7 linked regions of the Cricetulus griseus genome follow. The protein of the gene in region 1 interacts with the protein of each later gene in a pairwise test. Links are inferred from orthologs where the notes say so. Each region holds a gene or a part of one and is shown in the gene's direction. Other genes may lie near its edges.

Region 1 (3,500 bases):
CAGCCTGATGGCCTGTGGCTGGGTTTCTGGGCCCCTCCTGCTGGGTCTTGGGTCTTCTAGGATAGCATATCCAATGATGTTACTACCTCTTCCATAACCAGTCTCTTCCCTTATGGCCACCTGTGAACTGGGAGATGGGCAAGGGGATTGTCTAAACACTTTTAGGATGAGGAAACATCCTTTTGGTTCATTCTGTCCCTTAGTCGCTGTAACACAGTGCCACAAGCTCGGTAGCTTAGGTGACAGAAGTTTCTTTGAGTCCCAGTTCTGGAAAAGTCTATGCCCCATGCTTTTCCTCTAGATTCCCTCTCACCAGCCACCACAGACCTGTGCCTTTCTCACTTTCCCCATCAGGTTCCTGCTGAGATTGCTTTTCTTGTCTTCTGTTGTGTCCTTTGGTGCCCTGCCCCTTGGCTATCTTTGCTCGCCCCATCTGCCTCCTTTAATAATAGAACTTATGCTGCCCAGGCTGACCTTAAACTCCCTGTGTAGCCAAAGGTGACCTTGAACTTCTAACCTGTCCACCTAGCTCCTAAGTGCTGGGATTCTAGGTTTGCACTACCATCCCTAGTTTGGAAATTGATCCTAGGGCCTGGTGCAGAAAGGCGAGCACTCTGCCAGCTGAGCTAAAACTTTTTTATGAACAGGTACTTATCATTTCAGGGCCCATCCTTGTAGACTCCTTATCTCCAAGGACAGTCTTACCAGGAACCAGGGCTTCTTTACAGCGAACATTGGGACTTTATCATGCAGCCTTTAGCAGAGCAATGACTTGTGCATTAGCCTTGACTATGGCAGTCACTCATTCATGCCACAAATAACCCTCTGAAGTGAGAGCTCCCATTAACCAATTCAATTCTTTTTTCTTTTACTCTCATTTATTTGTATGCACGCAGGCATGCTACTGCAGGCATGCTCATCTCAGGCACTGCCTGGACTCAGGTGCCTGGCAACTCCCAATCTAGCAGGTGTCTGTGTGAGCATAGCAGTTTCCCATGCATCTGCATGTCTGTGCACCCTGCTCCTGAGACATTAGTCATACAGACCTGGTGCTGTGTTTCACTCCCCTGAGCCTAGGTCCTTTACATTCTGTTGTTTGTTTGTGTCATTTTGTTTGGGTAGGGTTTGGTGATTGGCATGTGTGTTTGAAGGTTAGAGGACAACTTACAGGAGTTGGTTCTCTCCTTCTACTGTTGTGGGTTCTGGGGATAGAACTCAGTCAGATTTTGTGACACATGACTTTGTTATTTTGAGACTTTGCTTCATTCATCATTCACTTTCCTCCCAGCAGCCCTGACCTCCTAACCCTGCAGGGAGTCACAGCCCAGTAGAGATGCTTTAATACCTCCTGAGCTCTGCCAATACCCTGTGGTACCTGTTGTGTGGCTTGCCTGTGGGACAACTGTGCAGGCGCTCACACACATCCCTTACAGCCTCACCTCAGGTTCTCATCAAAATGTCCTAGTGAGAGCTCTTCTGTGCCTCCATGTTGCACAGGTGGGGACTCCTGAGGCCCACAGCTGAGGATGTCACCAGCTCCTATGCAGAGCTTGGCTGTATGCTAGCCACCTGTGGTCTCCAGAGCCTTGAGACTGCCCCAGGACTAGGGGTGGGCAGTCATCTGCTGTGAGGTTCCAACTGTTTGTGTCCAGGGCTGAAAAGAGGTCACTGTGTGTCTGGAGGGGTCCTTATATTCTTGGGCATCTGTGGGTGACTAGCTTGGTTACTAAGGTCATACATAGTAGGGCCATAGGTGCATGGGGATGGCAGACAGGTTTGCACCCTGGGGTCATGCATGTGGGAGGACTGTCTTCATGTGCGCACATGATAAGGACACAGGTGTGATTGCTTAGGCATGAGGGGGTGGGAAGTCTTACAACAGAAAGGCAGCAGCATGTCTTTATAGGGAGCATGGTGCACAGGCCAGGCCTGGCCCAGCTCCTGGGAGTGCCTTGTTCTCCCTGCATCCTGGCTGGCCCCTGTGTCTCTCTGACTTAGGGCTCTCCCCTTGTGTCCCTGCAGGCTACATCCAGAAGATTAAGTCAGGAGAAGAAGACTTTGAATCTCTGGCCTCACAGTTCAGCGATTGCAGCTCTGCCAAAGCCAGGGGAGACCTGGGTGCCTTCAGCAGAGGTAGGCAAGAGTGGGTACCGCTACACTCAGCCCCTTCCCTATAGTGTTGGGGGTGGTTGGGCCCACGAAGGGGGAGAAACCCTACTCTGTGCCTTCCTAATCCACCAGGTGGCAGCACAGCCCTCAGGCTTCCTGGCCTGTGTTTTTTGTGCTGCTAAAGGGATGTAAAACCTCCCTGGTATCTTCCCTTCAGGATCATTGTCCCCCTCACCGGCCCATCAAGGTGACTCTGTTCTGTCATTGGCATCTAGCTATAGGACAAGACCCCTGAGAATCATGTTCTTCCCTTTGGCAGGTGGGGAAAATGGGCAGGCAAGGCAAGGTCAGGTCCAGTTGGTGACCCAGACAGAGCTCAGAATGTCTTCCAAGGGCAGAGGAAATCAGGATCCCTTCCTCCTCCCTTCTCTCCTTCATCTCCTTGTTGTGGGCTGGGAGTTCTAAGTGTTGGCACCTGCCTGGGAGAGGGAGCCTAGCGAGGCCCTCTGCTGGCAGCCCAAGCTACCTGCAGGACAGATGGTGTTCAGCTGGGAACCAAGAGAGTTCATCATGCAGTGTGTCTAAATGCACAGCACAGCACTGCCTGCCATTCCTCATGCTGTCCTTGGGCTTCCCAGAGCCTCCTAATGGGCCTGTGGCCCTCAGCTGGGCTACAGCTCAGCAGTGCAGGGTGACAGGGCCATAAACCCTGTGATGAATATGCTTGAGACTAGGTGCAGGCAGGAGCCCCATCTCTGTGCAACTCGCGCCTGACCCCCACCACCTCTGCTGTTTCACACAGGTCAGATGCAGAAACCGTTTGAGGATGCATCGTTTGCTCTACGGACAGGGGAGATGAGTGGGCCAGTGTTCACAGATTCGGGCATCCATATCATCCTGCGCACAGAATGAGGACAGGCAACTGGCCGGCCTACTCAGGCTGCCAAGCAGTCCATGGACGCCCCTTCCTGCTACTGTCACACAGTATTTATTATTCCTAAAATGGCTGGGAGGGGGCTCTGAGATAAGGACTCTGAGCTTCCTTTTCCCTGTTTGCCCCCAGTTGGGGCTGCCCTAGCCAGGCTCCTTCTGAAGGAATTAACTTCAGAAGGGCAGTGGGGGTGTGGAGGCCCTCAGGCTTAGTGGGTCAGAGGTGACCTGACCCCTCCCCCTAGGTCCCAGAGGCAGGCAGGAGGGCCTTGTTTCTTGTTAGTTTTATGCTCCATTCCTCTGTTCAGTTGCAAAAAGCAGACACTCCACACCTGGCGATGCAGCAACTCAGCCTCAGGGTGTGGTGCAGCGCCCCATGCGCCTTCCATTAAATCTGGAACCACTGGCTGGTGGTACTGTATCTCATTACCTTCCTGATGGGGTGTGGGGTTCCTGTCTCA
Region 2 (3,500 bases), on another chromosome or scaffold:
TAGGCTGGTTATCCATTGCTGTATGTCTAATACTCACTTATGAATGAGTACGTATCATGTTTGTCTTTCTGTGTCTGGGTTACCTCCCTCAGGATGGTTTCTTCTCCATTTTTCTGCAAATTTCAAAATTTCATTGTTTTTGTTGTTGTTGTTGTTGTTGTTACACTGAATAGTACTCATTATGCATGTATACCACATTTTCCTTATCCATTCTTTGATTGATGAGCATCTAGGTTGCTTTCAGGTTCTGGCTGTTACAAATAATGCTGCTATGAACATAGTTGAACAGATGTCTTTGTTATATGAATATTCATCCTTTGAGTATATGGATAAGGGTGGAATTGCTGGATCTTGACGTAGATTGATTCTTGTTTTCCTGAGAAACCGTCATGGGCTTGAAGTTTATATCCAATCACTAACCTATTTGTTTGGTAAAACAATCATATATGCAATTATTGCTTCTTTGAGGATTCCATATTCATTTATGCTTAGACCTTATGTACATGTAGCAAGAGAAAAATTTTATTTTTACAGTTGTTTGCTGATGAGGATTTGGTTTACTTTATTGTTACAATACCATTTTAGAAGTTAAAAATTGTGTTTGTATTTTACAGATGTATAAAGAACATTCCCAATTAAATCAGAGAGAGAGAAGGAAAATCTATCTTACCCTGTGGACATGTGATCAGTCTTACTGTATTAATTCACCATTAACCCTCTGTCTAGCCAAGTACTTGGAGAAGTAACTATTCAATAATTGTGAATGGTATGTTTGCATACATTTGCATGACTGTGTTAACACCCATCTTCTTGCACTTCCCCCCCCCCAGATTCGCAGGAAGGAAATTATAAGTCAGAAGTGAACAGCAAACCTAGAAAGGAAAGGACAGCTTTCACCAAAGAACAAATCAGAGAACTGGAGGCAGAATTTGCTCATCATAACTATTTGACAAGACTGAGAAGATATGAGATAGCGGTGAATCTAGATCTCACCGAAAGACAGGTAAAGTGGGCATCTTAGTTGTATGACATTTTATATTTCTATTTTTTATATTAGCAATCTTCTTTTACCATTTTTAATTATCTAGATTTATAATTTTCAAATGCCAATTAGAAATCTGTACTATTCGATGATTAAACTTTTGTTCTGCAAAAATTAAAACTTAAAAAAATGATATATGAGTGAAAGGTGTGTTTACTGAGTTTTAATAAGGAATGCTTTGCGATGGTAATATTCCTCTGTTTGTTTTAAAAACATGGTTTGTTTTAAATAATGTGGGTAAATGGTGAAATATTTCCTGTGTTTATATTTAAGATCTCCTCATCTGGTGTAATAAAAGGTTAGTTGTCTCTACAGGTCAGGATAGGTCATTCCATATTGCAATAGAACATTAACTTTTAAAACTAAAGCACAAAATAAAACAAAATAAAATGAAGTATCAATGGCTTATTTTCTTCATGAGTTCTACAAATCCAGCACTCTGAATAGTCACTCATGGTCCGTGGAATCTTAACGTGTGGTGCTGTTGGTAACCACAGGAGGTTATAAAAGAATTGGCAGTTCCCTTACTGGAGATATTTTCACCTAGAAATGACTCATATTCTCTCCATTTATTCTTATGTGTTATGAAATGATCAAGGGTGTAGCATGGGAGCAAGAAGGCTGGGTAATTATTGGCAGCAAGAACACACAGACCACTGATAAATATTTGTTCTCTATTATCAAAATACTTCAAAATTGTGTTTACTCTAGAAATTCAATAGTCTGCTATCTGCTCAAAGAATGCTTTGAAAGTGTTAATGATTCATGTGTCCAATAATGAGAACTAAATAATGTATTTAAATCCATTGCTTTATAGACTCTTTTATTTGGTTGTGTTTGGATGGAAAGTAATTTGTTCTGTTAGCACTCAGGGAGTACGCCCTATATTAATTCACATTTACTTTAGGACAATCCAGCCTTCAGATGGTTAACAGTCTTGCTAGTTAGAAAAAACATTCCTAAAAGGCAAATGCAAACATCTTTATGGACAGTGCAATTATAGCAGGCACTATTAGGGCAAGAGCTTCACTTCCTCTCTCACTGTTCATTCCCCCTCCAGGGGTCCCATAGGAATGAGGGAAATACCAACATGGTGTGGACAAATGACAAATGACTATCATACTTTATGATAGCAAGTGATTTTATCAAGTTCTTAAGTCATATTTTTTTCGTTCTGCTAATTTTTAGATTTCAGTTTCTGTGGGATATTTCTGGTTAGAGAAAATATACAAAGGAACACTTTTTTGAGGTTTCATTTATTGGCAGTTTATATTTTATTAAATATTATGACTAGTTCCTAAGCTCTGCAGTACCACATTTTCTTCCCCTGAATCACACACGGAGTTCCCTCTGTGAATGTGTGGCATTTGGCACTTCAGAAAGCAGGAACTAAAGTCTACATCATCAGATCACTCATCTATTTTAATATGTTTATCTGGGAACAGGGAAGTAAAGAAGGGGAAAAATTACAGTGAACTCCAGGAAAGAGCCCCATGTTTTAGAAATGCGAAGAAAATTGGCAACTGGAATTGAATTGCCATCTATACAATGATTGATGGAGCACTGAGCTCTAGCCAAGAGCAAAGACAAGAGCTATGCCTGCTCATATGGTGATGGTCCATCATCGTTCTCCATATATCCCAATGTTCCCATTCAAACTGAACCATCTGGCCAAATTCAATGTCAAGTAAAGAGTCATTATAAATATTGCTGAAGTAAGCTAGCAATAGTCTTATAAGAAAATCAGAAAAATAAAATAAACAAACAACCATCAAACAGACAAAAATCACACAAAACAAAAAAACTTGGAGAGATACTTGTATTCTCAAATAATTGAAAACTTGGGACTGTGTAATTTCTTCCCCATTTTGAGAATATCTTCTGGCATTTGCAAGTTAACTGGAAGGGTAATATGTTCATTAGAACATGCATACTAAATCAAAGCTAAATCTCTTAAGGTACACTGTCATAAATGCCAATTTTAGGATGCAAAATCCATGAAGGAATATCTGGGATTGACCACTTAGAAGTTTATTTTCTTAGAGTAGCAAAAAATATGTTTGAGTCACAAATAGAAGCAAATATGTTTTCTCTTTCTGATTTACTCACCATAGTGGAAATAAAAACATTTTCCTTTTTTAAGGATTTTATTTATTTATTTATTTATTTATTTATTTATTATGTATACAATATTCTGCTTCCATGGATATCTGCACACCAGAAGAGGCCACCAGATCTCATAATAGATGGTTGTGAGCCACCATGTGGCTGGGAATTGAACTCAGCACCTCTGGAAGAGCAGTCAGTGCTCTTAACCATTTCTCTAGTCCCCAATATAGACAGCTGCATGGTGGGGACTCCTCATTCACAGGCCTGTTGGATAAATCCATTGGTAGCACAGATACTTGTTGAGCTGGGTACTAGAAAGAAAATCCTGTCAAAATAAGCTGAGAGTCCA
Region 3 (4,142 bases), on another chromosome or scaffold:
ACGACCTTTTGTATGGACAGCTCTCCTTCAGCCTAACCCTCTACACCCACCCAGCCGGGGCCAAATTTATACTTCTATAAATGTTGTAAATATGTGAAATTTTATCCCGTGCCCTCCCTCCCCTCTGCTTACCCCACTTGAGGCCCTACCCGGTCCCTCCGCCCTCCTCTTTGGCTGTTGTAATTATCTGGGGTTTGTACTGTACATAACCGGGGTGGGGGCTGGGAGGCGACCCCTCTGTACAGAGCTTCCCGGCTCCCGGCCCGCCCCTCTCTCCCGCCTCCAGCCACCTTAAGAGTAGGGAGCCGCTCTTCTTACTCGTTTTGTTTCCTTTGTTTACTCGTTCTCACCGCCCTCCTCCCAGCCCCGTCGCCCCTCGCCCACTCCCGGCCCCTTTCCTTTTTTTCTGGAGTGTGTGGTGAAACAAAACTCATGTTTAATAAACGGAGATTGTTCTTTTATCGCTGGACTGACTTTTTTTTTAAAGATTTATTATGTAGACAACATTCTGCTTCCATGTATGTCTCACTGCACACCAGAAGAGGGCAGCAGATCTCATAACGGATGGTGTGAGCCACCATGTGGTTGCTGGGAATTGAACTCAGGTCCTCTGGAAGAGCAGTCAGTGCTCAACCTCTGAGCCATCTCTCCAGCCGGGGACTGACTTTCATTTATTTAGTTGTCGAGACAGGGATTCTCTGTGTAGCTTTGGAGCCTCTCCTGGCACTCGCTCTGTAGACCAGGCTGGCCTGGAACTCACAGAGACCCGCCTGCCTCTGCCTCCCGAGTGCTGGGACTAAAGTGGGCGCCTCCTCGCCCGGCACCGGAGTCCTGGAAGCGCTGAGGGAGTGGCCGGCGCTGCTCGGGAGAAGGCTGTCAGCCCGCGGCGGGCGGGCTCACCCAGGCGTGAGTGCGGACAGCGCACAGCGGCCGAGCGCCCACTCGGCTCTCGCCCAAGCCGCCGTCTGCGCGAAGCTCTCCGGAGGGGACGCCTCTGCGGGACGCGGCCGAGACCCGCGGTCCTGGGCGAGCGCGCGCCGCAGACTTCCGGTCCGGCCGCCCCGCGTGCACACCGCGGACGGCGCACCCACCTCGCCCTTCCCGCCGCCGCCGCCGCCGCTCCCCGACGGTCCCAGCCCTGCCCCCGGCGGCACAGCCAATAAGAAGGGGGCTTGTAGGCTGCCGTCCTTCCATTGGCTGCAGCCCGGCTCCGCCCCGCCCCCCCCCGCCCGCGCGCCTGGCTGCAGCGGTCCGGCGGAGCGGCGGCGGCTTCCGGCCGAGCAGACGCAGCGGAGGCCGGGCGAGCGGCGAGCGGCGAGGTGAGGCGGGCGTGCGGTGGGGGCGTGCCGGCGGGAGGGCGCGGCGGACGGCCTGTGTGAGCGCGGCGAGGCGGGCGGCGACCGGCCGGCCCGCAGTCGCGCCCGGCTGCCGCGGGGCCTGGAGGTGAACACCCGGCGCCGCTTCTCTCGCTGGGGCGCGGGACGGAGGCGCGGCGGCCGCTGGACACGGGCGCCTGGCCCGAACCTGGGTGACCCGCTCTCTCCTCCTCCTCCCAGCCTTGGGTCCGCGGAGCCCCGCAGGCCCCCGACGCCCTGCGCCTTCTCTCCCCGAGGTGGCCATGGATGCGGCGACGCTGCCTCCCACGCCGCCCTCTCCCCGGGGCAACCCAGCCTCTCGGACCATCCACATCGAGTTCCCTCATCACAGCTCCTCGCTGCTGGAGTCCCTGAACCGCCACAGGCTGGAGGGCAAGTTCTGTGATGTGTCCCTCCTGGTTCAGGGCAGGGAGCTCAGGGCTCACAAGGCGGTGTTGGCCGCTGCCTCGCCTTACTTCCACGACAAGCTGCTTTTGGGGGATGCGCCCCGACTCACTTTGCCGAGTGTCATCGAGGCAGACGCCTTCGAGGGACTCCTTCAGCTCATTTACTCGGGGCGCCTCCGCCTGCCGCTCGATGCTCTCCCTGCCCATCTCCTTGTCGCCAGTGGCCTGCAGATGTGGCAGGTGGTGGACCAGTGCTCGGAGATTCTTCGAGAACTAGAGACATCGGGTGGTGGTGGAGTCTCGGCTGGCGGAGGAGCCTCCTACCACACAGTTCTTTCCACAACCTCTCCGGGAGGCTGGTGCATCCGGTCCTCCCCTTTCCAGAGCACAGCGCGGTCCTCTGCTCCCACAGAGAGCTCGGCTTCTACTGAGAGCCCCGTGGGAGGGGAGGGGAGCAAAGTGGAAGAAGGAGTGTTAGAGATTCAGGTGAAGGAGGAGGAGGACGAGCAGGGGTCAGCAGCCCCGCTCTTCCAGACTCCTCAGCCTCAGAGAGTATCCGGAGGGTTTCCCCACGCCTGTGCACCCCACCCACTGCCCACATCTGCTCTTCCCAGCAAGCCTCCGGAGGAGGAGAATTCAGCCCTTGAGCCTCCTGCCCCTCCTGGCCGAGCTTCCCAGGTCTTGTATGTCAATCAGGAAGCCCTTGAGTCTAAGGAGGAGACATCAGGAAGTAGGACTCGGTCTGGAGGAACAAAGGAGAAGACCAAAGCCGTTTCTGAAGGGGACTCTGAGGGAAATGGGGAACTAAGATACTTGCTGTCCTCAGGAGGAGGGGAAACCTCTGGAGCAGGGGATCCACCCTGGAAGCCAGTGGATCTTCACGGGAACGAAATCCTGTCAGGGGGCGGGGGGCCTGGAGGCTCGGGGCAAGCTGTGCATGGGCCTGTGAAGCTGGGAGGGACGCCCCCCGCAGATGGGAAATGCTTTGGGTGCTTGTGTGGAAAACGGTTTGCAGTAAAGCCGAAGCGGGACCGCCACATCATGTTGACCTTCAGCCTTCGCCCTTTTGGATGTGGCGTCTGTAATAAACGCTTCAAGTTGAAGCACCATCTGACAGAGCACATGAAGACCCACGCTAGAGCTCTGCATGCCTGTCCCAACTGTGGCCGTCGGTTTCGCGTCCATGCCTTTTACCTGCGCCACCGCGACCTGTGCAAGGGCCAGGGCTGGGCCACTGCCCACTGGACTTACAAATGACTGCTAATGCTGTATACTGACTTCTAGGATAAGACATAGCCGCTGCTGCTGCTGCTGGATTCTTACCCTTCACCACCTCAGTCCTGGATCGTGTAGCCATCCCAAGAGATGAGATACGTTATGAGCCCCTTACTGTTGGCTATGGGCCTCACCCTCGTGTGCTCGGAAGTTCAGGGTTCTCAGTTCAGCTGTTTGTTAAGCAGACTCTAGGAAAGTCATACTTTTGATCACTTAAGCTATGTGGCCCTCTTTGTTTTGATAGCCAGTGAGGAAACCATTGACTTCAGATGAAGTTAGTGAGAGAAGAGTTGGAACAAAATGACCTAGTAACTTTTACTTCACCTTCACCAGGAGGTAAGGGAGCTGGTCTCCAACTAGAAACGTGTTTGATTCAGAGCTCAACCAATTGCCAGACTGAACTCCATGAGTGCCCCCACCCACCCACCCACCCACACACACACACACACACTCGGCAGTGCGCTGTTTCTTTCTAGAAGCTTTTAGATTGTACTTTGCCTTCTTACCAGTAGACACCTTCCAAAATATTCTTTTAAAAATGTACTTAAGCCAGGTGACGGTGGTGGCGCACGCCTTTAATCCCAGCACTTGGGAGGCAGAGGCAGGCAGATCTCTGTGAGTTCAAGACCAGCCTGGTCTACAAGAGCAAATTCCAGGACAGTCTCCAAAGCCACAGAGAAACCCTGTCTTGGGGGGAAAAAAAAAATGTACTTGAGCCTGCAACAAGTGTGGTTACTCACACATTTAATCCCAACACTGGGGAGCAGAGTTAGGCGGATCTCTGTGAGCTCCAGACCAACCTGGGTAGCATAGTTTCAGCATAACAAGTTTCAGGCCAGTCAGGGCTACACAGTGAGACCTGGTCTTTTTAAAGAAAAAAGTACTTGAGCACTTTAACATATCAAGCATTTCATATGTAATTGCAGAACCCTAAGAGGATATTCCCGCAACAGCCTTTGCTCTTTCTTGTCTAGACTACCACTGACAACTTGCTTATGATCACAATGACAGATGTGACCAGTGAACTCAGGAGATGGCAACTGACCTAAAACGCTCTCAGGGTAGCGCTGTTGCTCTCTGAACAAATTGCCCTGATCTGAAGGAC
Region 4 (3,500 bases), on another chromosome or scaffold:
TACTTTCCTTAATAGAGCCTGTTTAACTTAATTCATACAAAATAGTATCATTTCAACACATAGCTATTAAAAAAGGATCAACAAAAACTCTGTCTTGTGATAAATCTTCAAAATCCAGAGTGTATTTTGCACCATTGCAAGTGTTCAGTGTAGCCAGTGGCCAGCATTCTTGACAGTAAGCTGAGGAGAGGTCAGAAGACAGTCATCTGAAGACACCTCACTGCTGCTTTACCAAGTCCTCCTGGGGTCTCCACCCTTACAGGATAACCATTGTGAGATTAATTGCTGTGCTTTTAAAAATCATATGGCCTCAAAACATTACTTCACTTAGAAAATACTGCACTAGCTGAAGATAGGTAAGTAAGTGACTGAGGTAAGTGAAATCCTAAACACTCTATATTGTAATTACAATGATCCTAAAAGGGACTTTGACTCATCAGACATTTGTAGGTTGAAACTCTCTCAAATTTTGAGAGAGGGGAAACCACAATCAGAATCTATTGTACGGGGAGAGGCAGAGCTCTCTGTCACTCAACTAGGTAATGCTGCTGGGGCTCCCATTTTTTTTCACTTTCTCAAACTCTCTCTCTCTCCCTCCCCTCTCTCTCTCTCTCTCTCTCTCTCTCTCTCTCTCTCTCTCTCTCTCTCTCTCTCTGTGTGTGTGTGTGTGTGTGTGTGTGTGTGTGTGTGTGTGTGTCCACTAAAGAAAAGAAACAGGGAGAAGATGTAGACAGGTGATGGAATGAACTGAGTGGATGAGAGAATAGCACAGGACCCCAGAGGGAATTTTTATGCTACTGAAGTGGCCAAACCACATCATAGGGACCTGTTCAATCAGAGATTTAAGTAGCACAAATTGGCAGGAAGAACTAACGTTGTCAGTGGAAATGTAACAAAACTCAGGAGATTATTTTCAGCAGAATTCTTGAAAGGTGGAAAGATTAGAAGAAATGCGTACATCACTTGGAGTATTTGGCTTGGGTGGCATCAAGGTCAAGGGATAAGAGTGAGACTAGAGAATAATACAAAGAGACCTGCGGCAGCACGCAGAAATAGCATTCCTGAAGCCCTGTAATTACAACAGAACCCAACAGACTATAGGCTCTGGGGCTGTAGCTAATTGGCTACCTAATGTGCACATATGTGGATATACACAAGTCGGGGAATGGAACATGGTTACTATACAAAGAAAGATAAAGTCATTGCTATTATAATTATCTTTATTTTTTACCTTCTCCATTATCAGCAATCTGTTCTCCCCTTCTGTAAGAGAAAGAGAGGTATTATATAGTAACATTTTAGGCACCTATTTGTTTGCCTTATTGCAGTATCAAACTTTGAGCTATCCAGAGATGCTCACATCTATGGGTTGGGTGGAGCCAGAATTATACAGTCAGTAGTTGTAGACTCTTTTCCACCAATGGGAGAACTACCCCAGCAAAGCCTCCCAGTTTGACTGGGTAAACCAGTCACCTGGGGAGTTGTTAAAAGGCATATTCATTCTGATTTATGGATTTGGTGGGGAACCTGGGATTCTGCAATTCTAACAGACTTCTGAGTGTCTCTGGAACTGCTAATCTATGGACCACGTGCTGATTAAGAAGGCCCAGGACATCAAGTATTTGTCTGAACACACTAAGATAAATATCTTAGTTGTTTCCTTTTTTATACACCCTAGTCTCTGCTTTAAGGTCTGTGCTTCCTTTCCCTCTGAGCACACAGTAGCTTGGACTTTTTTTTAATAAATAAGATATTAAGAGATCACAGCGGCCTAAGCTGCAAGATCCTGCCTGGGAGCACGAGTTCTCTTTGAGGCTCACGCTTTTTCTTCCTTTCACCTCTCTGCCTCTAGGTATCAAAGCTTGAAAGAGAGAAGACGCAAGAAGCAAAGAGGATTCGTGAGTTGGAGCAGCGCAAGCACACGGTCCTGGTGACAGAGCTCAAAGCCAAGCTCCATGAGGAGAAGATGAAGGAGCTGCAGGCGGTGAGGGAGAATCTCATCAAGCAGCATGAGCAGGAAATGTCAAGGACAGTGAAGGTACGGGATGGGGAGATCCAGAGACTCAAGTCTGCCCTGTGCGCCCTCCGGGATGGCAGCAGTGACAAAGTAAGGACAGCTCTCACCATTGAGGCCAGGGAGGAGGCCCGGAAACAGTTCGATGCAGAGCGTCTGAAGCTCTTGCAGGAAATTACAGACCTGAAAACTGCCAAGAAGCAGGTGGATGAGGCTCTGAGCAATATGATCCAAGCGGACAAAATCAAGGCTGGTGACCTTAGGAGTGAGCATCAATCCCACCAGGAAGCCATCTCGAAGATCAAGTGGGAGTCAGAACGGGACATTCGGAGGCTGGTCAGTAATAATAATGAGAGCCCGGCAGAAACCTTTCTCTGCCAGAGCTCTGTGTGATTTGCTTTGCTGAGTGTTCAACTGTCAGTTACTATAAACATACACCCTGGCTTTGCCGCTACACTATTCAAAACACAAGGTAGACTGATAGGTACTTTGGTAGAAATTGGAATTATAAAATGTAAGAGATTTTACAGTCCTCATTTTCACAGGTATTCACTCAGCGACATGTGTTCTTGGGTAGTCCATGAAAAGATTGTAAATTACAAACAATTCCAACCTTAGCTTGTTTTTGTGGGTTTCCCAGTTGTAAAGTGCCCCTGGGTATTTTACAGGACAAAGGGATGTTTCTACAATTTGTCTGAAAATGGTCACTATTGAAAACATGCTGAGTGATTCATCAGTGCAAACGTGGAGCTATAAAATCCCTGGTCATTTTGAAACCGAGTTCCTTTCCCACAAATAATCAAGGAATATTTGTTATGAGCCATTCTATTTTTTAATTGGGTGTCATTCACAAAGAGTTTCCTTTCTGTTTGCAATATACTTTACTTCAACCCACACAGAATTGGTTTGTTTGTTTTGTTTTGTTTTGCTTGCAAAGCCAAAAACCATATACCGATGCCTCGTAATGCTAAAAATAAATTAGTCAATGCATTAATAAATTAGTCTAATGCATTAATCTAGTGCTGTCCTATAATGTCCTAGGTTAACCTCATCCTGTGATCTTAGAAGGGAAATTGATATTCATCTATGTACAAAAGTTGAGGATTAGCTTAAACCATTTAGAATGGATTTAATACTATGTTTCTCTAAGCCAGTGATTCTCAACCATCCCAATGCTTAGACCTTTTAAATAGAGTTCCTCATGTTGTGATGACCCTCAACCATAAAATTATTTCATTGATATTACATAACTGTAATTTTGCTGGTGTGATGACTTGTAATGTAAATATCTAATATGCAGGATATCTGATATATATCTGATATTTGACCCCATGAAAGGGCCATTCAACACCCTCCTCCCAAAGGGGTCACAACCCATTGGTTGGGAACCACTGTTCTTAGTAGAATACTGTTCAGGGAAAACCATCCTTTCCCTCTTGTGTCTGCCAATCCTCAGGAACCAGTTCCTAGGAATTCCACTGTTGTG
Region 5 (3,500 bases), on another chromosome or scaffold:
TGTGTATGTGGAGTTTTGAGGTGGGTCTCACTATGTAGCTCTGACTAGCCTTGCACTCACAGACCCTCCCTCCTCTACTTCCAGAGTGCTTGGATTTAAGGTGTGTGCTAACTCATTTAGCTGATGGCCTTTTCTTTTGTAATAGTACATAATATAAGTTCTTTTGAAGATTAGACTTTTTATGGATCAGAAAGTACTGACTACTGTAAGTAACATAACTAAGTAACTTCTAAATAATTCATCTTATTCTGCTAGTCCTGGCAGTTGTCAGTCATAGAATGGGGTGATATTCTTCCCCCAGATTCTGGCATACTTTGAGAGACCTTACTAAATTATTTCCATCATATGTAAGCTTATTTAGAATACTTTTCAATAAAAGTGTGTGTGTGTGTGTGTGTGTGTGTGTGTGTGTGTGTGTGTGTGTGTGTATACACCCCAGTTCTCTTATATGTACACATATGTGCGTGTGGTGCTGGGTATGGAATCCAAGGCCTCGGGCATGCTAGGCAGTCACTACCACTTAGCTATATCCTCAGCTTGTAAAATGATTCTGTGTTACTAAGTAATACGTAATATAGTGTGTTTTTTCTTCGGTTTGTGTTGTTAGGTGATGGGACTAGAATGGCTGATTCAACAACAATGTTATCCATAAGTGATCCAATTCACATGGTGCTGATCAAAATAGACATATTTGGTGAGACTACTTTAGTGGCATCCTATTTTCTGGAATGGAGATCAGTTTTGGGCTCAGAAAATGGAGTGACCAATCTGACTGTGGAACTTATGGGTGTAGGTATGATGATTAATGTCACTTTCACCTTTTTATAAATACTGTTTGTTGGCAAATTTATTTTATATCAGTCAAAAGGGCTTTACAGGAGGGAGACTTGTAAAACAGGCTTTCATCAGAATTTCAGTGGTAAGTTGGCTTAGGGAATAGCTGGAAGAATAATGCCACCATAGTTCTTCAAAGTCAGTCTTTCTTATCCTGAGGAATTTTTTTTTTTTTTAAGATTTATTTATTTATTATGTATACAGTGTTCTGCCTGCATGTATGCCTACATGCCAGAAGAGGGCATCAGATCTCATTATAGATAGCTGTGAGCCACCATTGGGTTGCTGGGAATTGAACTCAGGACCTCTGGAAGTGTGCTTTTACTCTGAACCATCTCTCCAGCTCCAAAGAATGTTTTTTGTCTGCAAAATGAATGGAAATTCTGGAGGTTCAACATTTTGTTGTTGTTGTTGTTAAATATAAGGTTATAAAGAAAAGCAGGATTCTTTTAAACATATGAATAGGTGTATGCATAAGCTTCTTTCTGGTATGTCCTAGAGTACAGCACATCACCGTCGTCACCACACTGGTTCTTGGAGGGGGTGGGTTATGGGTTTTTTGTTTGTTTTGTTGGTTATGGCCAGAATCTCACAGTGTATTTTGGGATGTCCTTGAGTTCCCTCTACAGAACAGTTGGCCTGCCTCATGCTAGGATTATTGGCATGTACCACCGTGCCAGCTTCATACCAGTGGTTATTGACGAATGAGTAGATGTTCCTCTAGTTCGTTATTATGGATAGGTAAAATTTGAAAGAGTTGCTAACTTGGTCAGTGTCAGTAGCAATGAATAGTAAAGGACAGAGGTTGTACATTATCTTACCATTATTTCCTTGGATTTTGCATACTGCCTACTATGTAATATGTATTAGCTCATAAAAAGAGGAAAACAAAAACCCACTAATGTTTTATCTATAACTTATAATGTAATTGTATTGGTATTACAACTTATTCATACAAGTTAAACTTGGGGATAGCATGATGGCTCAGTGGGTAAGATGATACACAAGTAGAAGGAACTGAGTTTGTCTCTCCAGCACCCACAAAAAAAGCTGGGCATGGTGGCATGCATCTGTAATCCCAGGTCTTGATGGCGGTAGAGACATGCAGATCCTGGGATCTCACTGCCCAGCCAATCTAGCTAATTGGTGAGCTCCAGGTCAGTGAGAGACTTTTGTCTTAAAAGCTAAGGCTGAGAGCAATAGTGGAAGTGGCCCCACATCAGCCTCTGGTCTCCACACTCTTGTGAATGGGCAAAGCCATTTACATAATGTGCATGCACTCATACAAAGAAAAAGAAAAAAAGCTAAATTTGGTCAGTTGACAGCAAAGCATTCAGAATTTAAGTCAGACTCAAAATATGTCTGTACTTAAATAAAAAGAACTAGTATTCTCTTTACACATGAGATTTGTTTTTTAAAGTGATTTCTGGTTCTTTGTCTTCAAAAATAGACCTGGGCCTGGAGAGATGGCTGAATGGTTGAGAACACTGGCTGCTTTTCTAGAGCACCCATATAGTGGCTGACTGCTGACTGTTCGTTAACTGCAGTCCCTGGGGATCTGGCCTCCAAGGACACTGCATGCTTTAGGTGCATAGACAGATAGACAGACAGACGGATGGATGGATAGATAGATGCAAATAGGTCTAACATGATAATCATAACAATGACCTGGAAATAAGTATATACCGATTTGGTTAAGAAATATTGAATAGTTTTATATACATATATGTTTGTATGTTGTATATATAGATCATATATAGTTGAAAACTTGATAAGAAAGGGTAGATGGAATTACTGCATATGGTAAAAAGTTGGGATACTTTCTGATTTTCATGGAGACAGAATGGGCTCTTAACAATTGCTTTGGTTTTGTACTTAATGTAGCATCTAGTTGGAATTATATACATTAAATTATATATTATATTAAAGATATAAATTTAAGAATTCTAAATCCACAAGGTCAGAAAAGTTCCTTAAAATGTTTTTAGAAAGCTTTAGTAACAAAGAAAAAAATCAATTTGATTTGGTTCATTTTAAAAAGTTTGATTCATTTTTAATATGAATATTAAGTGTAATGTTGAGTATTATAACTCTACTTAAGTCATAAAGTACATCACTCCTAAATTATGTTGGTTAGACTTTGGTTGACTAAATACACATAGTCCTGAAAGTTCTTTGTTTTAAATAAGGTTTAAGTAGAGTTTTAAATATTTGTATTTATAGGAACAGAATCAAAAGTTTCTGTGGGAATTTTAAATATAAAACTTGAGATGTACCCACCACTCAACCAAACACTGTCTCAAGAAGTAGTGAACACACAGGTAAGCCAGTTTTTCTTTTGTACATTGCTTTAGTTGTAGGAAATATTTACCCTAGAAAGTATTGTCTTTTTAGAAAAAACAATAACATTGCTGTTTAGATTTGTACTAAAAGAATTAACCAAAGGGATGGGGAAAGAACTATTAAGCTGGGACTGGTGATACAGTTAGTGGTAGTGCTTGCTAAGCATGTACAAGGCCCTGGCTTTTAGCAAACTCCAGGACTGGAATGTGTGTATGTGGGGGGGTGTCACAAAGTGGAAGGGCATTGGAGTAGCAACATGGGGTGATATTTTAAAAGGCTTTATTGCATTTGCATGTGTTTTGTGTGCATTGGGGGTGGGTGAT
Region 6 (2,199 bases), on another chromosome or scaffold:
AACACCTAACTTCCTCTTTTAGATTTTCTTATTAACTATGATCTTAAAAATTTGATAACTGGGGCTGGAGAGATGGCTCAGAGGTTAAGAGCACTGACTGCTCTTCCAGAGGTTCTGAGTTCAATTCCCAGCAACCACATGGTGGCTCACAACCATCCATTATGAGGTCTGGTGCCCTCTTCTGGTGTGCAGATATACATGGAAGCAGAATGTTGTATACATAATAAATAAATAAAATCCTTAAAAAATTTTTGATAACCAAGGTACTTGAAAGTAACATGTGAAGGTATGAATTAATTACTGTACGCACTTGTGAAAATATGCTCTGAATCATAGCGGGAATGTAAACTGGGATCCTGTTTTAAAAAAACTGGCGGTTGTAGTTGCTTTCTGTGGCTGTGGTAAAGCATGATGGAAAGTAGCTGGGACGGGGGTTGTTTAGCTGACACTTCTGTGTCACAGTCGATCATGGAGAGAAATCAGGGCAGGAACTCAACTCCAGCAGAGACCATGCTGCTTACTGACTTGATCCACACGGCTTGCTCAGCCTGCTTTCTTATAGAACCCAGGACCACCATCCCACTGATGCCACTACCCACAGTGTGTGAGGGAGGCCCTTCCCCATTGATCACTAATTGAGAAAATGCCTTACAGCTGGATCTTGGGGAGGCATTTCCTCAACTTCTTCCTCTCTGATGACTCTAGCTTATGTCAAGTTGACACATAAAACCAGCCAGTACAACTGAACCTTTTCATCCTGACGTACAACCGCATCACCATTAAGCTCCATTATTCATCCCCAGATCTCACATTAAAACATAAATAACCTTATAAGTCCCACAGTCTTTTCAAATCCAGACACAATGGGCTGGGCCCTCCCACATCATTCATTAATCAAGAAATTGCCCCACAGACTTTCCTACAGGTAGTCTGATGGAGACACTTCCACAGCTGAGGTTCTTCTTTCCAGGTGAGCTCTTATCAACTTACCTTGGGTCAAGTTGATAAAAACTAACCAGCACATCAGTGCAAATAAAACCACTTAGATACAGTTATCATAGCAAGGACACTGTTGATCTGCTTTAAATGGTAAAAAATAAATGTATATCTCTCATGTACTTACTGGTTGTAAGTTTATCCCATGTCTATTCCAAATGTATGGTGAAAGTATGATAGGGACCACAAATGTCACATGTGTGAAAACAAGTGTTTTCTACATTTGATCCCCATGCTTCAGGACTCAGTCTCTTATATGTCTGGAGTTTGTTTTGAAGGAAAGATTCTAGTTACTCACTATGTTTTTGCACATATCAATAACTTATCTTTCAGCAAATCCCATGGATTCTACCTTCAGAAAATTCCCCTTTACATTCACTTACTAGCTCCACTGTCAATGCCCAGTACATACCCAGACACCATCTTACCAAGAACTGTTGAGTTACTCTACCTTCCTTAATACACTTCACCCTTCAGAACGTGAGCAAAAAGAGAGTCCTCATACATGCTCACCTCCATATGCTCCCTTTTTGTTCTTATCTTTCACTAAACACAATGAAGGTCTTTGTAGTTTTTCCTAGTGATCTTTTAGAATAGAAATAAAATCGTGCCAGTACCTTTCAGCGTCTTCTCAGCTTACCAAGTAGCTCTCTTACCAGGCCCAGGGGTAGTTCAGTGTTAGTGTGCCAAGGTTGGTGATTGTTAGTGCAAGCCTCTGTTGATAAAGGAAAGGCTGTAATACAAGCTCCTTTTCTCATTTATGAGTCAAGCATTTCACAATATCAGCACTGACTGTTTTATTATCATTATTATTATTACTGCAATATAATCAGTATTATTTCCTTAGAATGTTTAATCTAAAAAGCTTTTTGGCTTCTAGTTTATAATCAATAAACATAACATGAAGTGTTTACCTGTTGTTGTCAGTACTATGCAGATATGCCAGCGGAAGAAAGAGAAAAGAAGTTGGCTTCCTGCTCACGACACCGATTTCGCTATATTCCACCCAGCACACCAGAGAATTTCTGGGAAGTTGGTTTTCCTTCTACTCAGACATGTCTGGAAAGGGGTAGGAATAAATTTCAGCATTTTATATATGTATTTTTAAATATAGTATAGAGTAAGTCTAAATATTAGTCCTCTTTCTATAACTCTTCATCTTATGCTGTGTGTTAGATGCTGCTTCTGAAGAATACAAGGGAA
Region 7 (4,262 bases), on another chromosome or scaffold:
AGTAAGAGCCTGACTCCAAAACACGGGAACAATTCCCTTCCAACAGAATTCAGAAGGCCGTAGAGTGGTCTTGAAACCAAGAGGTTCCATAACTGTCCAGCTACAGAAGGTGGGTCACATGACATACACAGTTCTGTCTTTCTCTGTGGTCACCGGCCTACCCAGACGACCAGTCCCTTGTACCGTCTATGGAATGAACCTGTCAGTCATGTGGAATGGCAGGTTGGCTCCTTATCTGTTCCCATCCCCACAATTGTAAAGTCTCAGACCTGTCCCTACCTTCACCGTGCTTGTTGGCTTTTTAATCACACTTGCCTTGCAGGCGCGAGAAGGTGGCTTGGGCACGAGAGATAGGAAGAAACTGCTCTCTCCACCATGCATTAGCTTCTCTCCCAGGTGAGAAACGTAACTGGCTGCCCTCTCCCTGGTGTCCAGTCACCAAGGCCACACAAATCCAAAGAGACAGGCACTCTCTTGAGGGACTATCAATCTCCCCTGGTGTACCCTTCTGTTTCTTTGGGCTCACGCAGCTCCCTCCCTGGGCTTTTAACTGGGCCTGGAAGGGAACCTGTCAAATGTCCTTAAATTCTCCAGTTCAATCAACTCGACTGCGCACATGCGAGTGCCATGTGCGAGTACGACCTGCAGAGGGCGCAGGAAGCCTTAAAGAGAGCGTCGTGAAGGTGGGCTCAGTCTCCAGAATCTGGAGATGGAGAAGTAGGGTTCCCTGCAGAGATCCTTTAGACAGAGGACGCTTCGGTGATCTGTGAACATACACCCAGCACTTACAGCTTCAGCCCATGCTCCTCTCTCAAGTTCCTTAGGCCGCACCCCCCCCCCCAAAAAAAAAACTTTCTACCGCAGCCAACCCAACTCCTTTTGCCCAAACCCCAACTCTCCCAAATCCTCCACGTTCCATCCTAAGAATGAGGCTGGCCTGTAGACCACAGCATGGAGAAGGCTCAATTAAGACCAATCAGAGCCGACGGCAGTACCTGCAAAGTTAACTTTCTGGGGTGAGCTCCCCCCTTCTCGCTCCCCCTCCCCCCGCCCCCCGCCGGCCGCGCAATATTTTCCCCAATGTTTTCCTGGCTCTGGTTCAGGTCCTCTTCGTGGACAGCCGGTCCAGGGATCCGCGCCGGGATTTACCGTGCACCAAGAGCAGCGTGTTCGGGAGGGGGGGTAGTAGGCAGTATAGGGTCCCTCAAGGGAGGGGGAGGATCCTGGGGGTCCTGGGGGTGCCATAAGCCCGGCACCCCCTCTCTAACTTCTAGCCACCCCGCCTCATCTTCCTTCTAGAGCGGCCTGGAGGAAGGATATTGGAGGGGAGTGAGCGGGAAGAGCGGCGGCGCGCCGGTGGCAGGAGCGAGAAAAAGTTTTTGCAAAAGGAGAAAAAAAAAAAAAAAAAAGTTTGCGCTTCTCGCGGGTGGTCCCGGCTCGCGGCCCGGCGGGCTGGGCCGGCGGAGGGCTGGGGGCCAGGTTGGGGGGGGGGTGGCACTGAAGCTGCGCTGCAGTGGCCCTGTCGCCCCCCTCCCCGCAGCACCCCCCCAGCCCAGTTTCCAACCCTGGACCGCGCATCCCGAGCACTGCGCCCCGACTGAGGTGAGAGGGGGGGCAGGAGGGGAGACCACCTGGGAGCGATGGGGGAGGGGGCCGAGGAGATGCTCGGATGCCCAGGACTCTCCCCATCCCACAAGGAGACCTGGGGCACAGCAGAGGCAATAACGGGGTGGAAGAGATTGGGATGAGCTATTAGGAAGTTTGGATGTTTTTCTCGTTTTTGTGCCTTAATCCGTGCCTACTTTTCCTCCCTAGCTCCTTTTTCTTCTGGCAGTCTGTCTGTCCCTGGTCTCTTTGTCTGCGCTCTCCCACCTATTAGACATATCTCCCTTTCTTGAAGTTGGCATGAAGAGGCTGTTGGGACGGCCAGCAGGAGGTCTGCGTGGTAGAGGGAACTCCAGGTGCGTGTCTGGGCGCCGCTGGAAAGCGCTCAGTGGGGTGGGAACAGGAGTGTTTGGAGGTAACACAATCACTGAGGGCCCGGCTGGGATTGGACTCTTGACCCGTGTTGTGACAGATGTCCAGATGAAGCCTTGAGTTTGGGGGCAAGAGGAGTGTTTTTGAACTAGGAAGGAAGCTGGGTGGGTTTCCAAACGTGTAGTGTAGGCCTTAGCGGGGAGGTGGGGAGAATCTGTGGGGAATTCGTGCTTCTCAGTCCCGAGGACTGCGGGCCAGGCCCCAAGGAAGAGCGAGCGCTGGGGAGACCTTGTCTTGACCCCCTGACCTCGGGACCACCGGGGCAGCTGAAGCCAGGCGGCAGGAGACCCCTGCTGGAGCAAAGCGGGACCACCGGCCACTGCCAGCTTGTGTATCCCCGCTGGCCCCCCGCCCAAACGGGAGCTGGGGACCGAGGCCCCTCCTCTGGCTTAGACCACCCTGCCTGCCCTTGCTCCCCGCTCTGAATCCTCTTTCAGGCCCCATGACCCTGAAACAATCAACCCGGGAGGGACAGTTAGCTTTGGGGACAGGACGAAGGAAGGGGACTCCATAGAGACCGAGGGTTCTGGGCGCCTGGAGAAGCGGGACTTGACGGTATAGGTCTCTCCCTCCAGTGCACGGAGAGGGACGGGCAGTTTTCTGGGAGAAAAGTTCTTGAACGCGGGTGATTTTCTTCCCCCTAGGGGGCGGGGTTCGGAAGGACCCCCCACCCCATTATCTCCCTGGGCATCCCCGCCGGACCGACGTCTCCGACTCGCCCTTGACGTCACTAGGGGGTTCCCGGGGGTCTATAGGGGTTAACCCTTAGGAGGCCGGCTGAGATACTCAGAAGTCTAAGGTGTCCTCTCCTAGCGCACTGTGTGGACTCGGGCACTTCTTTCTGTAGGCTCTGGGTTCTTCCTTCCCGCTCCACCACAGGGACCCCACTTTCCAATAGTGCCCCCCACCCCGGGCGCCACCGCCTGCTTTCAGGATGCGTTGAGAGAGGGAGAGAGGAGAGAGAAGGGAAGAATGTTCCACCCGTCACCCCCCCCCCCGCTTTTCTGGGCTCCCCGGGCGGGCGGGGGAAGCTGAGCCGTCTGCAGCCGGAGCCTGCGGCGGCGACTTGGGTGGGCCGAGAAGGCACGGGGGCGGGGAAGGCGGGACCGGGAGAAGGGGGTGGGGCCGGCTCTTGGGAGTTGGGGAGAAGGGGTACGCACAGAACTCTGGAAAATAGACACTGAAGATGATTCGGGTCTCTGGCAGGGTAATTCCGAGTGCTCCCTGTCCCATCCCGCCCCGAAAAACCTCCTCCAGGGAAACTGGAAAAGCTAGCTGGAGACCTCTTTACTAGGATGAAGGGGAGGCGTGCGTGTAGACTGTGGCACGCGTGGGCGAGGAGGGCCGTCGCCCCCCTTTTCACCGTGTCTCCTGGGGTGGTCCGGCAGTGGGACAGGAAGATAATAAGAGTGACATCTATCTCTGAGAGGGCATCTAGTGTCTGGGGGTCGTTTACAGGTCTTCCCTCTTGCCTTGAGTGAGTCACAGCGGAGGAGGCAGGAGACATGCCCCCTCATCCAGCTGCCAGCCAGCTGTGCCCCCCACCCCCAACGTGAGTGCCAGGGTCGAGCTGGGAGGTCTTGGATGCGGGATCCGGGTCTCAGCTGGAAAAGGAGGAGTTAGCATAGGTACAGCCCGGCTGCAGCACTTGGGCTGGGTCGTAGGGTCCGGGTTCCGTTCCCCACTTTGCCCCGCCCTCACCCTAAATCCCAGCATCCCGGGATCACCCACCGCGCAGGCCGGCCCGCTCCCGGTGGTTCTCCACCCCACCCCGCCCCACCCCACCCTCCACTCCCGGAGGACGGAAAAACGTGGAGTGGAGTGCAAGCTGGCTGAGAGAAGGAAAACTGGACCTCGCACCCTCGCCCTGCTGTCTTGATCCTTTCCAATAGAGGACTTGGTTTTCTCATCCTCATTAAGCTCCTCCCCAAAGTTCCTATCCACTCCCCCGTCCACAGACCAAAAGGGTTAGGTAGGTCCAGACTCAAACCGCCGCAGAATGACTTTAGCCTCTATCCTTTTTACTCAACAGACGGGAGACACTCTGCTGCGAAGCCCTTTTCCCTCCCACACAGAGTTCTCTCGGCTAAGAGGACAGATCAGTTGTGTGTTCTCTTCTGGCCCCACCAGCCAATCTGCACTGAAGCGAGGTCTCCCTCTACTGGACACTGGGGAGTTTGCATATGCGTTCTTGGGCTGGGGCTCAGAGCGAGCAAGCAGCCCTG

The links.
Region 2: the proteins of Pin1 (region 1) and Meox2 interact in binary tests that used the Homo sapiens proteins (3 or more experiments, as listed by UniProt). The two-hybrid records come from large-scale screens. The link is inferred for Cricetulus griseus from reciprocal best matches to the Homo sapiens genes PIN1 and MEOX2.
Region 3: the proteins of Pin1 (region 1) and Zbtb9 interact in binary tests that used the Homo sapiens proteins (3 or more experiments, as listed by UniProt). The two-hybrid records come from large-scale screens. The link is inferred for Cricetulus griseus from reciprocal best matches to the Homo sapiens genes PIN1 and ZBTB9.
Region 4: the proteins of Pin1 (region 1) and Jakmip2 interact in binary tests that used the Homo sapiens proteins (3 or more experiments, as listed by UniProt). The two-hybrid records come from large-scale screens. The link is inferred for Cricetulus griseus from reciprocal best matches to the Homo sapiens genes PIN1 and JAKMIP2.
Region 5: the proteins of Pin1 (region 1) and Cep76 interact in binary tests that used the Homo sapiens proteins (3 or more experiments, as listed by UniProt). The two-hybrid records come from large-scale screens. The link is inferred for Cricetulus griseus from reciprocal best matches to the Homo sapiens genes PIN1 and CEP76.
Region 6: the proteins of Pin1 (region 1) and Rbbp8 interact in binary tests that used the Homo sapiens proteins (3 or more experiments, as listed by UniProt). The two-hybrid records come from large-scale screens. The link is inferred for Cricetulus griseus from reciprocal best matches to the Homo sapiens genes PIN1 and RBBP8.
Region 7: the proteins of Pin1 (region 1) and Gli1 interact in binary tests that used the Homo sapiens proteins (3 or more experiments, as listed by UniProt). The link is inferred for Cricetulus griseus from reciprocal best matches to the Homo sapiens genes PIN1 and GLI1.

Annotation. Positions count from the first base shown.
Region 1 is NC_048597.1:133,542,011-133,545,510, forward strand, and holds the end of Pin1 (peptidyl-prolyl cis-trans isomerase NIMA-interacting 1), read left to right. Parts: intron 1-2,022; coding exon 2,023-2,133; intron 2,134-2,911; coding exon 2,912-3,021; 3' UTR 3,022-3,447; downstream 3,448-3,500. UniProt on the Homo sapiens protein: Peptidyl-prolyl cis/trans isomerase (PPIase) that binds to and isomerizes specific phosphorylated Ser/Thr-Pro (pSer/Thr-Pro) motifs.
Region 2 is NC_048598.1:164,545,608-164,549,107, reverse strand, and holds part of Meox2 (homeobox protein MOX-2), read left to right. Parts: intron 1-830; coding exon 831-1,003; intron 1,004-3,500. UniProt on the Homo sapiens protein: Mesodermal transcription factor that plays a key role in somitogenesis and somitogenesis and limb muscle differentiation. Required during limb development for normal appendicular muscle formation and for the normal regulation of myogenic genes.
Region 3 is NW_023276806.1:232,169,859-232,174,000, forward strand, and holds the start of Zbtb9 (zinc finger and BTB domain-containing protein 9), read left to right. Parts: upstream 1-1,342; 5' UTR 1,343-1,618; coding exon 1,619-3,019; 3' UTR 3,020-4,142. UniProt on the Homo sapiens protein: May be involved in transcriptional regulation.
Region 4 is NC_048595.1:194,225,778-194,229,277, forward strand, and holds part of Jakmip2 (janus kinase and microtubule-interacting protein 2), read left to right. Parts: intron 1-1,852; coding exon 1,853-2,350; intron 2,351-3,500.
Region 5 is NC_048595.1:171,774,427-171,777,926, forward strand, and holds part of Cep76 (centrosomal protein of 76 kDa), read left to right. Parts: intron 1-607; coding exon 608-793; intron 794-3,057; coding exon 3,058-3,155; intron 3,156-3,500. UniProt on the Homo sapiens protein: Centrosomal protein involved in regulation of centriole duplication. Required to limit centriole duplication to once per cell cycle by preventing centriole reduplication.
Region 6 is NC_048595.1:224,629,486-224,631,684, reverse strand, and holds part of Rbbp8 (DNA endonuclease RBBP8), read left to right. Parts: intron 1-1,923; coding exon 1,924-2,065; intron 2,066-2,199. UniProt on the Homo sapiens protein: Endonuclease that cooperates with the MRE11-RAD50-NBN (MRN) complex in DNA-end resection, the first step of double-strand break (DSB) repair through the homologous recombination (HR) pathway.
Region 7 is NW_023276806.1:130,389,057-130,393,318, forward strand, and holds the start of Gli1 (zinc finger protein GLI1), read left to right. Parts: upstream 1-1,462; 5' UTR 1,463-1,602; intron 1,603-1,815; 5' UTR 1,816-1,961; intron 1,962-3,220; exon of another isoform or gene 3,221-3,244; intron 3,245-3,495; 5' UTR 3,496-3,589; intron 3,590-4,069; 5' UTR 4,070-4,262. UniProt on the Homo sapiens protein: Acts as a transcriptional activator. Binds to the DNA consensus sequence 5'-GACCACCCA-3'. Regulates the transcription of specific genes during normal development.